Saccharomyces cerevisiae S288C: one gene and its partners. The gene in region 1 interacts genetically with each later gene. Each region holds a gene or a part of one and is shown in the gene's direction. Other genes may lie near its edges.

Region 1 (2,996 bases):
TTATTCTATCATGATCGTTTTATGGTTTTTTTCGTTTATTTTATCATTTTTTTTTTTTTTTAGCTTTTTTTCCTCTATAGAAAGTGAAGTACACACGTATATATTATGATTCAGGATCTTTATTTGGTCTCAATTTTAATATTTTTTTGCAAGGACTCGATTAATCTATCTTTTTCTATCCACCTATTTTCAAGCCACTTTTCTAAACTCTCATCATTGTATGCGAGTAATGGTTGAATTTGATGCTTTTTTACATTTACCATCACAACAATGGGGTCCTTATCCTTTATGTTGTTTTCAGACTCCATTTCTGGTTGAATCATCTCAAAGATTGTCGGAGATATTTGCTCTAATTGATAACCTTTATGAAGTCTCAAATCTCCGTTGGTATGATCATGCCCACTATCAGTATATTTGACTCGGTAATAAATTATGGTGACATCATATATGTATGGATTGATTCGTACCACCTTGGGCTTGCCGCTGCTGATTTCTTCCTTTTTTGTAAGTAAGTATGAATTATCTACGATCATGGGCGGCGTCGTCTTATCGGATACCTTGGAAGACTCCATTTTCATGCTCTTGTGAACTAATTTGTCAAGTTCTCTGTGAAACAGGTATCGGGCCTCTTTGATTATATTGTTACGGTTTTTCTTTCTTTTGATGTTTTTAATTGATGAAAAAGCAGCCATCAAAGTGGTAAAGTTTTTAAATCTTGGGTATAATAAATTATAGAAGTTTATAACAAAGGGAAAATCTTGGTGTAATTTTCTTTGAATAATTGATAGTTCCAAACTCATGATATTGACTTCGGGAAAAATAGTAATAGCTTGATTGTTTTGTCTTTCTAAAATATCTCTTAACTCATTCGATGAGAGTGCGAGTGTTTCATCTTTGAAGAATATGTTCTTTAGTAGATCCAATCGAGGAAAGTTAAACATTTTTCCCCAACCAAGAAATTTTAACTGAGGCCATTCAGCTAGATCTTCCCCCTTCCTCAGCTTTTGTAGAAATTCCCATTTAGTATAAAACTTGGTGGGACAACTTTTGAGAAAAAGGTAATTAATCAATGTGTAGTCATTCACTGATCGATGATTACATATCATTAATGTGGTTTGGAATTTGCTATCTTTAAAAAAGTTTAGGTCATCACTTCCCTCGGTTATGAAAATTTGGACGTTTTTTTTTTTTTCGAAGGTCATTTCAACTAAATGTAGCTGAAACCAAATTTCAATCGCCTCCAGCACCTTGTCTAAAGTTGGTATTATTTTCAGTTTACTATATGTCAGTGCCCTCGAGAGCAGCCGAATTTTGTACTCACCTATTATGGGCACATGCGACCAAAATCTGTCATATAGTAAATGCAGTCTAAGACAGAAGGAATTCGTGTTAATGAACTGTAGGAATTGATTGATTGCAGTAAAAAAAGAATGAAGGTAAAAATAGCCAAAAAGAATAAGCAACCTTGGGGTCAGACTCAACCAATCAGAAATATCTAACTGTTTGAACTGGACCCTAGAACCGACCATATATGTTTCGAAGAAATCAACAAAACCCATCTTAAAGTTATACCTTTCGTTTAGTTTTCTGTGTGGAAAAGAGAAATTTTATTTGATTAAGATTAACAATGAATCTATTATGGTGCATATCTTGCCCTGTTAACTTTCAATTTTTCATTTTGTGTCGCTACATGCCTTGTTGACACTCGGTTTTTTTGAAAAACAAACCATTCTCGCAAAAGATCGGATAAAAATGAAAACTTCCAGACAGTGGAATGCACACATTAATTAACGGTGATGCGAGGTGCAACAACTGAGTAATTTAATACCTTTGGTAATGCTATTGTTTCCTGGCTTGAAGCCTGTTCTTAATGCTTCCACTGTCATTGTAAATCCTGTACGAGCTGTTTTTCCAGGATTAGTACTTTCAACCAAAAGATCCTTTTATAGCATTAATCGTTTAAATGCTGAAAATAAAATAAACGATATTGCAAATACGTCAAAAGAGGCATCCTCTTCAGTGCAGATGTTTAAGCCCCCAGAGTTCTCTCAATTTAAGGACTCTTATCAAAAAGACTATGAGAGAATAGCAAAATATACTTTGATTCCATTAACAATGGTACCTTTTTATGCCTCCTTTACCGGCGGGGTTATAAATCCTTTACTCGATGCGTCTTTATCGTCCATTTTTTTGATATATTTACAGTATGGCTTCACAAGTTGTATTATTGACTATATACCGAAGGAAAAGTATCCAAGATGGCATAAGCTCGCCCTTTATTGCCTCTATGGAGGATCCATGTTGTCCCTGTACGGTATCTACGAATTGGAAACGAAAAATAATGGTTTTGTTGACCTGGTAAAGAAACTTTGGAATGAAAATGATGACCATTTGTATATATTTGGAAGAAACTGACTCACCCATACTTTTTCTTTTTTTTTGCATTTCTAAGATTTCATTTTTAGAGTCAGATTCCCCATGAACTTAACTTAGGAGAGATTTTATAAAAAGACAAATAAGCAATAAAATATATCCTTCTTCTCGAAATCCAGATATATATGTATATATCGATCTGCTTGGATTGGTACAAGACGATCAATTCTTGTCGAGTGAAACGCCTAGGGATACAGAAAGGAAAAGTAGGAATTCGTGATTGCTAGTATTCTCATTCTGTCTAAAGTGCCTTTTTTATTATTATCTGTATGCTTTTTGTTTCTTTAATGATGAGGAACGAATTTTTATACTACAAAAAAATAATGTTTACAATTTTTATCAATGTATTGAAACATTTTAATATTTGTTAGGATTCGCCTTTATTTCACAATCAAAAGGAAACACATAAAAAAAGTGTCATGCTCTACGTGAATAAAGAATTAGTGAAATAATAATAAGGCAATCAGAATACAACTATCGCACTATCTGCGAAACTTTTTACTATATGGGTATAAATGCTAAACGGAAAACTTGTCCATAAAACTATGATTCTTATAATAAAC
Region 2 (2,915 bases), on another chromosome or scaffold:
ATCAGTAAAGTTTCTTGTATACCAGGGAGTCTATAGCATGGGCAGCATCCTTTTATCATTCGTACTGGGTGTGGTTTTCGGACGTGGCGGATCTGGATGGAAGCCATACTATAAGCTGTTTATTTGGCTAGTCGTTCCCACGATTTACAACCTACAACATCATGTCACTGACGCTGACAAATTGTCGTTCAACTGCGAAAACTTTTTCCAGGCCCCACAAGACTACGTATTAGAGCGTGTCAAGAGGATTATGGAGAAGTCAGTCATTCTAAGTGTAATCAGCATGTTCGTATTACCAATCTTTACCACAGTATTTTTTTCCAGGCAAAAATCGGGATTATTTGATTCATTTACGAATGGCGTGCTAGCTGTCACAAATTTACTAATAATCTCCTGCATTATCTTCATCACTTTCGAATTCATAAATATAGCATTTGACGCACATATGTCCATAGGTTGTCTGCACAAGGGCAAGCTAATTTCGAATTTGTCGTCGACGCCGATGGAAACCCTGCTTAGTGGGCTTTCTGCAGACAAGCCATTTACTAGGTTGACTGCCTACCAGGAACTAGCGTATAGGGCCACTTCACTGGATCCATCATTGCGAGCACCAATATATCACTCCAAGTTCAGAAGCAGTAGTGGTAATACTTGGTCATTAATCCTCAATGAATGCTTGAAGACCATTCAGATAAACAATGAAAAGGTTGTGCAGTACCTAAGATCAGTACAAGATCTTGGGGGCTCTGCAACTGCTAGACATAAAAAAAAAGTAGAAAATCTAGATTATATGTATGAGAACGGGAAACTAACAAGCGCCAACGAAAGACTCTTTGGGAACCGACCCTCTATGATGGCGCCATTACGGGATAACGGCTTATTAGATGAATCACCAAACAGGCTGAGGGTAAGAACTGACGATAGTGTATTGCTTAACCGCGGAAACAAGAAAAGGCATAGGTCCTCGTATTACGACAACGATTTAGATGAAACGACACAAACTTTTAACGGCTCTATTTTCACCCACGAAACAACATTTATGACCGCTATGCGTCTGATGTTAAAAAAACTGAAAAATTCTATAATGTCGTTTATTTTCCCTTCCTACGCAGAAAGACAATCATCTGATGAAAGCGACAATTACAGACTATTACCAAATGGCTCCAACAAAGCCCAAATCTCGATAATTGACATATGGTCCATTTCCAAGAAAAGGCAAGCTGAGAAGCTGGTTCCATTGCCCATATGCCACGCAAATAGTGTGGTAGCACTGACAGGACTGCTGATCCGATCAAAGACAGAAGATCCAAAAGGCGGTATCATTGCATCCGTTGGGGATATTCTTAAGACTTTGGAGAGGTCCATCTGTGCACTGGGTGAATTTGCCGATTGGGATCCGGAATCGATGGCATACACTGCCTTCCAAACACAAAGGACAGCCCAAGATAGAGTACAACAAGACAGTGAAGACGAAGATAGCATGAAAGACACTACTGACATGATCAGTGTTCTTTATCAGCTGTCCACCAGTGCTTTTATGGAGATTGTACTTGAATACAATGTTGCTCTGAACGACGTATATTTGGATGCAGACGTGGCCAAGTTGGCGAACTGGTTTCTAGAAGTGTACGCCTCAGGCAACCCTAATGCTACGTAATACAATTCAACCGAGGAGCACCCCTCCTCCCATTTCATGTAAGATAAATACAATAATAAAAATTGGAATACCGCACAAATGCTTTAGTAGAGGCCTAATATGAGCAAAAAGAGCAAAAAGCTACCTTTATCGTTTCCGGGTAGCGAATCAAGGAGGGCCCTTTTATGCTTCAAGAATAATAGTAAAGAAAAGTATAGAGAAGAGGAAGCAATGCTTCCTATCGGAATTAATTCAATTCCTGGTACTAGAAGCGATAACATCACAGTTATACGTTCAAGATGTCACGCATGCCATCTAGTTTCGATGTTACGGAGAGGGATTTGGATGATATGACCTTTGGCGAAAGGATTATATACCATTGTAAGAAACAGCCATTGGTACCCATTGGGTGCTTGCTGACTACAGGAGCTGTCATTCTGGCTGCTCAAAATGTTCGTCTTGGTAATAAATGGAAAGCTCAGTACTACTTCCGTTGGCGTGTGGGTCTACAAGCGGCCACACTAGTCGCACTAGTCGCAGGTTCATTTATCTATGGGACTTCTGGTAAGGAACTGAAGGCGAAGGAGGAACAATTGAAGGAGAAAGCCAAGATGAGAGAAAAGTTATGGATCCAAGAGCTGGAGAGAAGGGAGGAAGAAACGGAGGCAAGGAGAAAAAGAGCCGAATTGGCAAGAATGAAGACCCTTGAGAACGAAGAGGAAATCAAGAACTTAGAAAAGGAACTAAGCGACCTGGAAAATAAGCTTGGAAAGAAGTAATTTGGCTCTTCGATTTGCTGTAAATAAATTATGATGAGAGACAAAAGAATGAACAGCTAATTTCGACTGTAATGAAGAAATGTAATAAAAAAATTCATGATGCTATGTCCAGTATTCAAGAAAAATAATTACAAAATAACAGCGTACATATGAATATTCTTTGTTTTTATCTTGTATAACTATCACTTAAAACATATTTATATCGATAGGTAAATGCTATATCAATCGCTCTATTTACTTGATTTTTAATATGTGGGTTTTTTTTTGCTTGACACATACGTAACGGTAATTGCCAGCTAACGATCGGTACAATTTTCAGAAAAATTGAAACAGAGAGAATCCACCAAATATTCAATTGCAAGGTGACGTACTTCAGATAAACACTTTATTGTACCATCTTAAGCGGCTATATAAAGTGTCATATACACCCTTCACCAAATACGCAACATGTCTGAATATCTAGCTCAGACGCCCTGCAAATTTACTATATGGTCAAGCGA
Region 3 (3,040 bases), on another chromosome or scaffold:
AGCTTGCCCTTTTTGATCATTGCGGAACCAAACCAGAATCCCTGTACAAACATAGTCAACGTCAAAAATCTCAAGATCCCAGCGTTTGCAGCAACAAAAAAGCAACTCTTGATGAAGAAAGTGTTACAATTTAGTATGATTTCCTTGAATTTTTTCCTTTCTAGACGTTGTGTACAATATAATCTCACTAATTGAGCGGCATTCATCGACCATGTAAGTAATTGGGCTGCTTTACTCGTTTCAGAATTCTCCTTCTCTGAATATACATGAATCATTCTGGAAAACACCACTGCAAAAAATGTGATTATTGGAGAGCTGCAAAGAATAATTAAAGTTAATGACCAAGAATAGTAGAATGACGTCCCCAGAAGCGCACATATTGCAACTAAATTCTGGAAAGTTATGGCTGATGCCTCTGCGGAGCTTGATCTTAGCTCTTCCACACATCTGTTGATTTGAGTAAAATCTCCTAACAATTTTTCATTATTGTCGTACCATTCCATTGGCTTTTCCTCCAAATATGCCTCCAATATCTGTGACCGTATTCTAAAGCCTTGTCTCTCGCCGATGTGCATCCAACTTGTTAGAGAAAGCCACATTACTGGCACAGAAGCCGCACCAAGTGCCATTACTGCCATTGACCTCTGTACTAGTTGGGAATACAAACCTTGATGTGACCCATTAGCCACGAAAACTGATAGTAGATCGAACACTCTGCCCGTCAGGATAGAAGTAATTGCCGGCACTAGGCCTGTTGCCACGGTACCTATTATCATTATCATTAACAGCCTGTAGTCATTCCGTATGTTCACGTACCTGAAAATGTGATAGTGTTTTGTAGTCTTAAAACTTAAAAAGTTCATGACGTAGCTTGTTCTTTGTTTCCTAGTGGAATTTTCAGCGGCACTTGAAAGCTCTCTGTGTGAACGTAACAACGGGAGATAGTTCAGCCATATCCAGGTTTATAAGCTCTGGTATTTAAATGATGAACGGCAATAATGCAACAGTTTTCATATCTGAAACAATTGTATATGTGCGAAGCAGCGTGTAAATTTCCCTATTAGGTAATTACATGGCAAAAAAAATAAGAAACTATTTTCTTAAAGTACCTTTACCCTTTGTGGAAAACAATAAATTGTATAGTGGCAGAATAGAGAAAAGAAAAAGGAAAGGAACATATTTGTCAGTGCAAGGACCATCATTGTTTGAAAAAAGAGAGGATATTACTAGTAGGTAATAACAGCTATGTCGCGTTATATATATTATATATAAAAATTAAAAAATAGAAAATAAAATTTCAAATGCCCTCTGTGGGAATTGAACCCACGATCCCCGCATTACGAGTGCGATGCCTTACCACTTGGCCAAAAGGGCTGAGTAATTTTTATACCTGCTAAATTTGTGGCTCCGCTATACTTTACAGATTTATCTATTTTGAAGATGATACATTTAGCAAAAATGACCTTAAAAATGAAGCAGGTGCCATTTGCCTATAGCTTGGAAAAGTAGTAATGGTTATTCAAAAAGTTAGCAGCGAGATCTTTTTTCTATCGCGCGTTAAAACGTTTGAACAGATATATATTATTCAGCCACAACTATCTATATATAATATTTCTTCGATTTTTCGTTTTCTCAAGTTTCGTCTTATTGATTGATCAGAAGTTTACTGCGCTTTTGGGTAAAGAAGCATTAAACAAAGGAGAGAGAAATATTGCAAGGAAAAAATGGTGAGCTATGGAAGTCATAGTAGTGAGGTTTCGAAAGTTCTTAAAACGCCGAAGTTTGTGCTTAGGTATGGAAATGTATCCAGCAAACAACGTTTTGCCCTAAAGCGGAAGATAAATTACAAACTACGTGAAAGCAAATATCAAGAATACTTGAATGAATACAACACCTTCGTGCTTTACGACTGGGAAAACAGTGGCGCTGGTAGTCTTGTCGATTCTTCCTACAATCTCCCCTCTTTATGGAAGGAATTCATAACAGAGGGCATATCTAAAGGAGCAATAAACGACAAACTACCGACAGTCTTTATGAAGAGGAAGTTGACAAACTCAGCGTTGGGTCACTGTTTGGGACTTGATTTCCTGACTGATCCGAGCGAGTCAGAACATGAATACAGGTGCATGTTTCAGACAGTTCAGGACATCCCATCTCTCTCGCAACTGATCTTATTCAACAGCATGCCAAACGTTCCAGTAAGATTGAAATTGCATACCATTGGTATAAATATAAATTTCGGCTGCAAACGTTCCCTGATAAGCAACGGTGGTGATCAAGACACTGAAATGAGCGAAGCAGTCTCTTATATCCAGCCTTTATTGGAAGAATCCTCGAGAATGTACCGCAATTTAAACTACTGGAAGCTGTTAAAAATAGCACGAAATAACAAGAAGGATGAACCGTTGGATCAGAGCACGCGTATCAAGTCGCAAGTTAAGCTTTTACTGAGTCAATTGGCGACGAACCGAATTACCTCACCTTCCGTCACGGATCATGGGGGTCACAACTGGCTCATATTCACCAGAAGACGGTTGTAAACGATAAATATGCCATAAAGATCTGCGAACTGTACATATCCATATATAATGCGTATTATTTGGTGACTATAGCACTGGCTTCCGCCATCTCACTAAGAACGAAGAGGTATAATAAAGCATTGTGATGTTAAAGAATGACGATTAACCAGCATTTACAACAACTTCTCTTCAACAGAATAGACAAAACAACAAGCAGTATTCAACAAGCTAGGGCGCCGCAGATGTTATTAGATGACCAGCTGAAGTATTGGGTCCTGTTACCTATTTCGATTGTCATGGTTTTGACGGGTGTACTCAAACAGTACATCATGACACTTATAACGGGAAGCAGTGCAAATGAAGCACAACCAAGGGTAAAGTTAACTGAATGGCAATATCTACAATGGGCACAATTATTGATTGGAAACGGTGGGAACCTGTCTTCCGATGCATTTGCTGCGAAGAAGGAATTTCTAGTTAAGGATCTCACTGAGGAAAGGCACCTAGCCAAGGCCAAGCAG
Region 4 (2,534 bases), on another chromosome or scaffold:
GCAGAAAGGTGATCCCTACTCTTGACATCGAATAAGCGGATGGTATCGTCATAGCCATTGCACACTAAGGTGCCATCTGTCGGTGAGTAAGAAACTGCAGAGACGCTCAATCTTGAGTCATATGTGGAGACAATTTCATGACTGGGATAGTCTTCATATTGTGACCACTCTGGCTTTTTAACAAGGTTTCTTGTATCCCAGATTTTGAGTGTTCTATCAAGTGATCCGGTGGCAATCTCGTAGGGTCTCATGGGATTTATTGCCATAGACCCGATCTTCTTGTCTGCGAGTCTTCGCAGATTATACTCTGATTTTTTTACTCTTGTGTCAAACGTGGTGAATTCACCACCTAATGTGGTGAGGAATAAAACATTTGGGTTTTCGTAGCTAAACTGGCAATCGCTGATACCCAGTGAATCGTCATATTCATTTTTCAAGGTGAGAACCTCTTCACTCTGTAAGTTATTCAAGTGAACTGACCTGATGCTTCCGTCGTAAGAGGTGAGCAATATCTTCGATGTGTCCGCAGGGAAGCAATCAATACGGCCGACGTTTTTGGTAAATAGTTTCACTCTGGTGATATCGGGTTCTTCCATTCGGTCCTCTTCGCTGTCAGCTAGTGGTTCATCTCTAACGTTCCAAAAACCCACAGTACCGCTTGTATCACCTGCAATTATTAGCTTTTTTTCCATAGCAGGATGGAAGTAAGTGGCAGAGATTCTTTCGTATGTAATCTTAATTTCGTTCGGTTGAAAAACGTCATATAGATCCAAATCAAATTCGTCCATCCCCGTAACGTCACCCTGTCTCTTTTTTATTTCTTCAAAGAAATCACCAGAAGAAAAGTTTCCGTTATTAAACCTCTTGAATTTCTCTAAAAGGGCACTTTCGTCTTCATCCTTGATCAGATCACTTAATTTCACATCTCCTATTACAGGTTTCTCCTTTATTGCGTCTATAAAATTCTTATCCTGGCCATCTGGAGAACCCATTTTAAGCAACTGATTATCGTTCACATTGGGTATTCCTTTCACATCGTCTGCAGACTCACCCCTTAGCCTTCTTGATCTTCGTGTAGGTAAAGTGGGACTCGCAGACTTGGTTGCTCTGGTATTAGTTGTTTTTTGTTTCTTTTTTGCAGGAGCTCTAGATTTTTCCAACACCCCAGCCTCGTGCTTAATTTGAGATGCTACTCCAGACAAATGGAGTTTTTTCAATAAATCGTTATTCCTTTTGATGTTCTCTAAACGTTTTTTCTGAAATTCTGTTAATTCCGGCATTCTTGACTGAAAAGCAGCTTTCTTTTAATTGCCGTACTAAAATAGATCGCCTATTGTGTACTATTGACGACAAATGCAAGATTAAAGGGTTTTTATCTTCTCTTTAACAATTGTTCAAATATACATTTACCTCTTTTGGCGTTATTATAATTGTAACATGTCAGAAATTGAACATTAACAAAAAACGCGTAATATGGGGTCCTCGGGTGAAAAATTAACGATGGGCTTTTGAAAAAAGGTACGAGCATATAAAGCGAGTACAGTCATTGTGTGCCACCAAGTAGGAAACAAAACACCGCTTAGAGAGAAACAGCAAGTGGTGAAAAACAATGAGTAATATTTTGGCAGTGTTCAACCCTCCACCACAAAGGGAGCTGGAAAAAGAAGAGACTATGGATTGCGTTCCTTGTCAAGTCATGAGCACTATGTTTTCTGTTGGATTTGGCTCATACTTGGCATCTGGGAAACCATTCAAGTATGGTAAAAAAGAAGCCAAAAGAGGCATTTCTCTGACTGAATTTGAAAAAAGAAACCCACAATGGTGGAAAGTAACTTTACGTAGCTTCGGTGGGTTATTAATCGCCTTCGGTTTCGTTAGAGGAACCGAAGGTTGGTTGTGGCATAAAAATAAAGAATATAAGAACTATAAGAAATTAAGTAACGATGGTGAAACACAGGCTAACTAGTATTATTCGCAAGCTTCTCTCAATCGTGAAATTTTCTGTACATAAAGTGCTACTTTGATGATTATTTTTAAAAATATTGTTACATTAGAAAATTGGTTTGTGATTTACATAATCAGGAGAGTCTATATATATATGAATATAGCTTTGAGAAAGGGATGTGAAAAAAAGTGCAATATGTTCCTAACTAATGTTATCGCATGCATTCAATGGGTTGATCTTTCCGATTGTTTCTTTTCTAACTTGGCACGGTCCAAGGCTTCTCTTTTAATTCTCTTGTCTTCCTTTATTTTAGATTTTATTTTTCTACACCAATGTCTAAATTTATCATCTTTAGACGGTGATACGTATTTCATTATAAGATCATGATGTAGCAATTCATGAATCGATGACCTTTCCCTTTCATTCTTAATACAACACCTATTGACAAAATCTGTCATTTCCTTGGAATAGATACGGTCTTTGGGTAATCTTGGTGAAGGCTCGTTGACAATACGTTGCAGCAAATCCAATATGCCATCAGGTGTATCGTTATGCCCACCTAGGGGAAACTCTCCAGTTACCAGCTCGA

Evidence for each region.
Region 2: mutations in TIM18 (region 1) and RCF1 together harm fitness more than expected from each alone (negative genetic interaction), as found in Saccharomyces cerevisiae (3 studies listed by BioGRID).
Region 3: mutations in TIM18 (region 1) and CBT1 together harm fitness more than expected from each alone (negative genetic interaction), as found in Saccharomyces cerevisiae (2 studies listed by BioGRID).
Region 4: mutations in TIM18 (region 1) and DMO2 together harm fitness more than expected from each alone (negative genetic interaction), as found in Saccharomyces cerevisiae (3 studies listed by BioGRID, with this or other methods).

Annotation. Positions count from the first base shown.
Region 1 is NC_001147.6:874,162-877,157, reverse strand, and holds TIM18 (Tim18p), read left to right. Parts: upstream 1-1,836; coding exon 1,837-2,415; downstream 2,416-2,996. Other genes in the region: MUM3 (Mum3p), read right to left, coding at 120-1,559. UniProt on the Saccharomyces cerevisiae protein: Component of the TIM22 complex, a complex that mediates the import and insertion of multi-pass transmembrane proteins into the mitochondrial inner membrane.
Region 2 is NC_001145.3:214,500-217,414, forward strand, and holds RCF1 (respiratory supercomplex assembly factor RCF1), read left to right. Parts: upstream 1-1,935; coding exon 1,936-2,415; downstream 2,416-2,915. Other genes in the region: NDC1 (Ndc1p), read left to right, coding at 1-1,657; USA1 (Usa1p), read left to right, coding at 2,863-2,915. UniProt on the Saccharomyces cerevisiae protein: Assembly factor that plays a role in the assembly of the respiratory chain supercomplexes (SCs) composed of ubiquinol-cytochrome c oxidoreductase (cytochrome b-c1 complex, complex III, CIII) and cytochrome c oxidase (complex IV, CIV).
Region 3 is NC_001143.9:45,433-48,472, forward strand, and holds CBT1 (Cbt1p), read left to right. Parts: upstream 1-1,724; coding exon 1,725-2,540; downstream 2,541-3,040. Other genes in the region: ATP-binding cassette a-factor transporter STE6, read right to left, coding at 1-863; ER membrane complex subunit EMC3, read left to right, coding at 2,762-3,040. UniProt on the Saccharomyces cerevisiae protein: Involved in 5'-end processing of mitochondrial COB, 15S rRNA, and RPM1 transcript. May also have a role in 3'-end processing of the COB pre-mRNA.
Region 4 is NC_001136.10:173,664-176,197, reverse strand, and holds DMO2 (Dmo2p), read left to right. Parts: upstream 1-1,609; coding exon 1,610-1,966; downstream 1,967-2,534. Other genes in the region: CMR1 (Cmr1p), read right to left, coding at 1-1,280; mitogen-activated protein kinase kinase STE7, read right to left, coding at 2,170-2,534.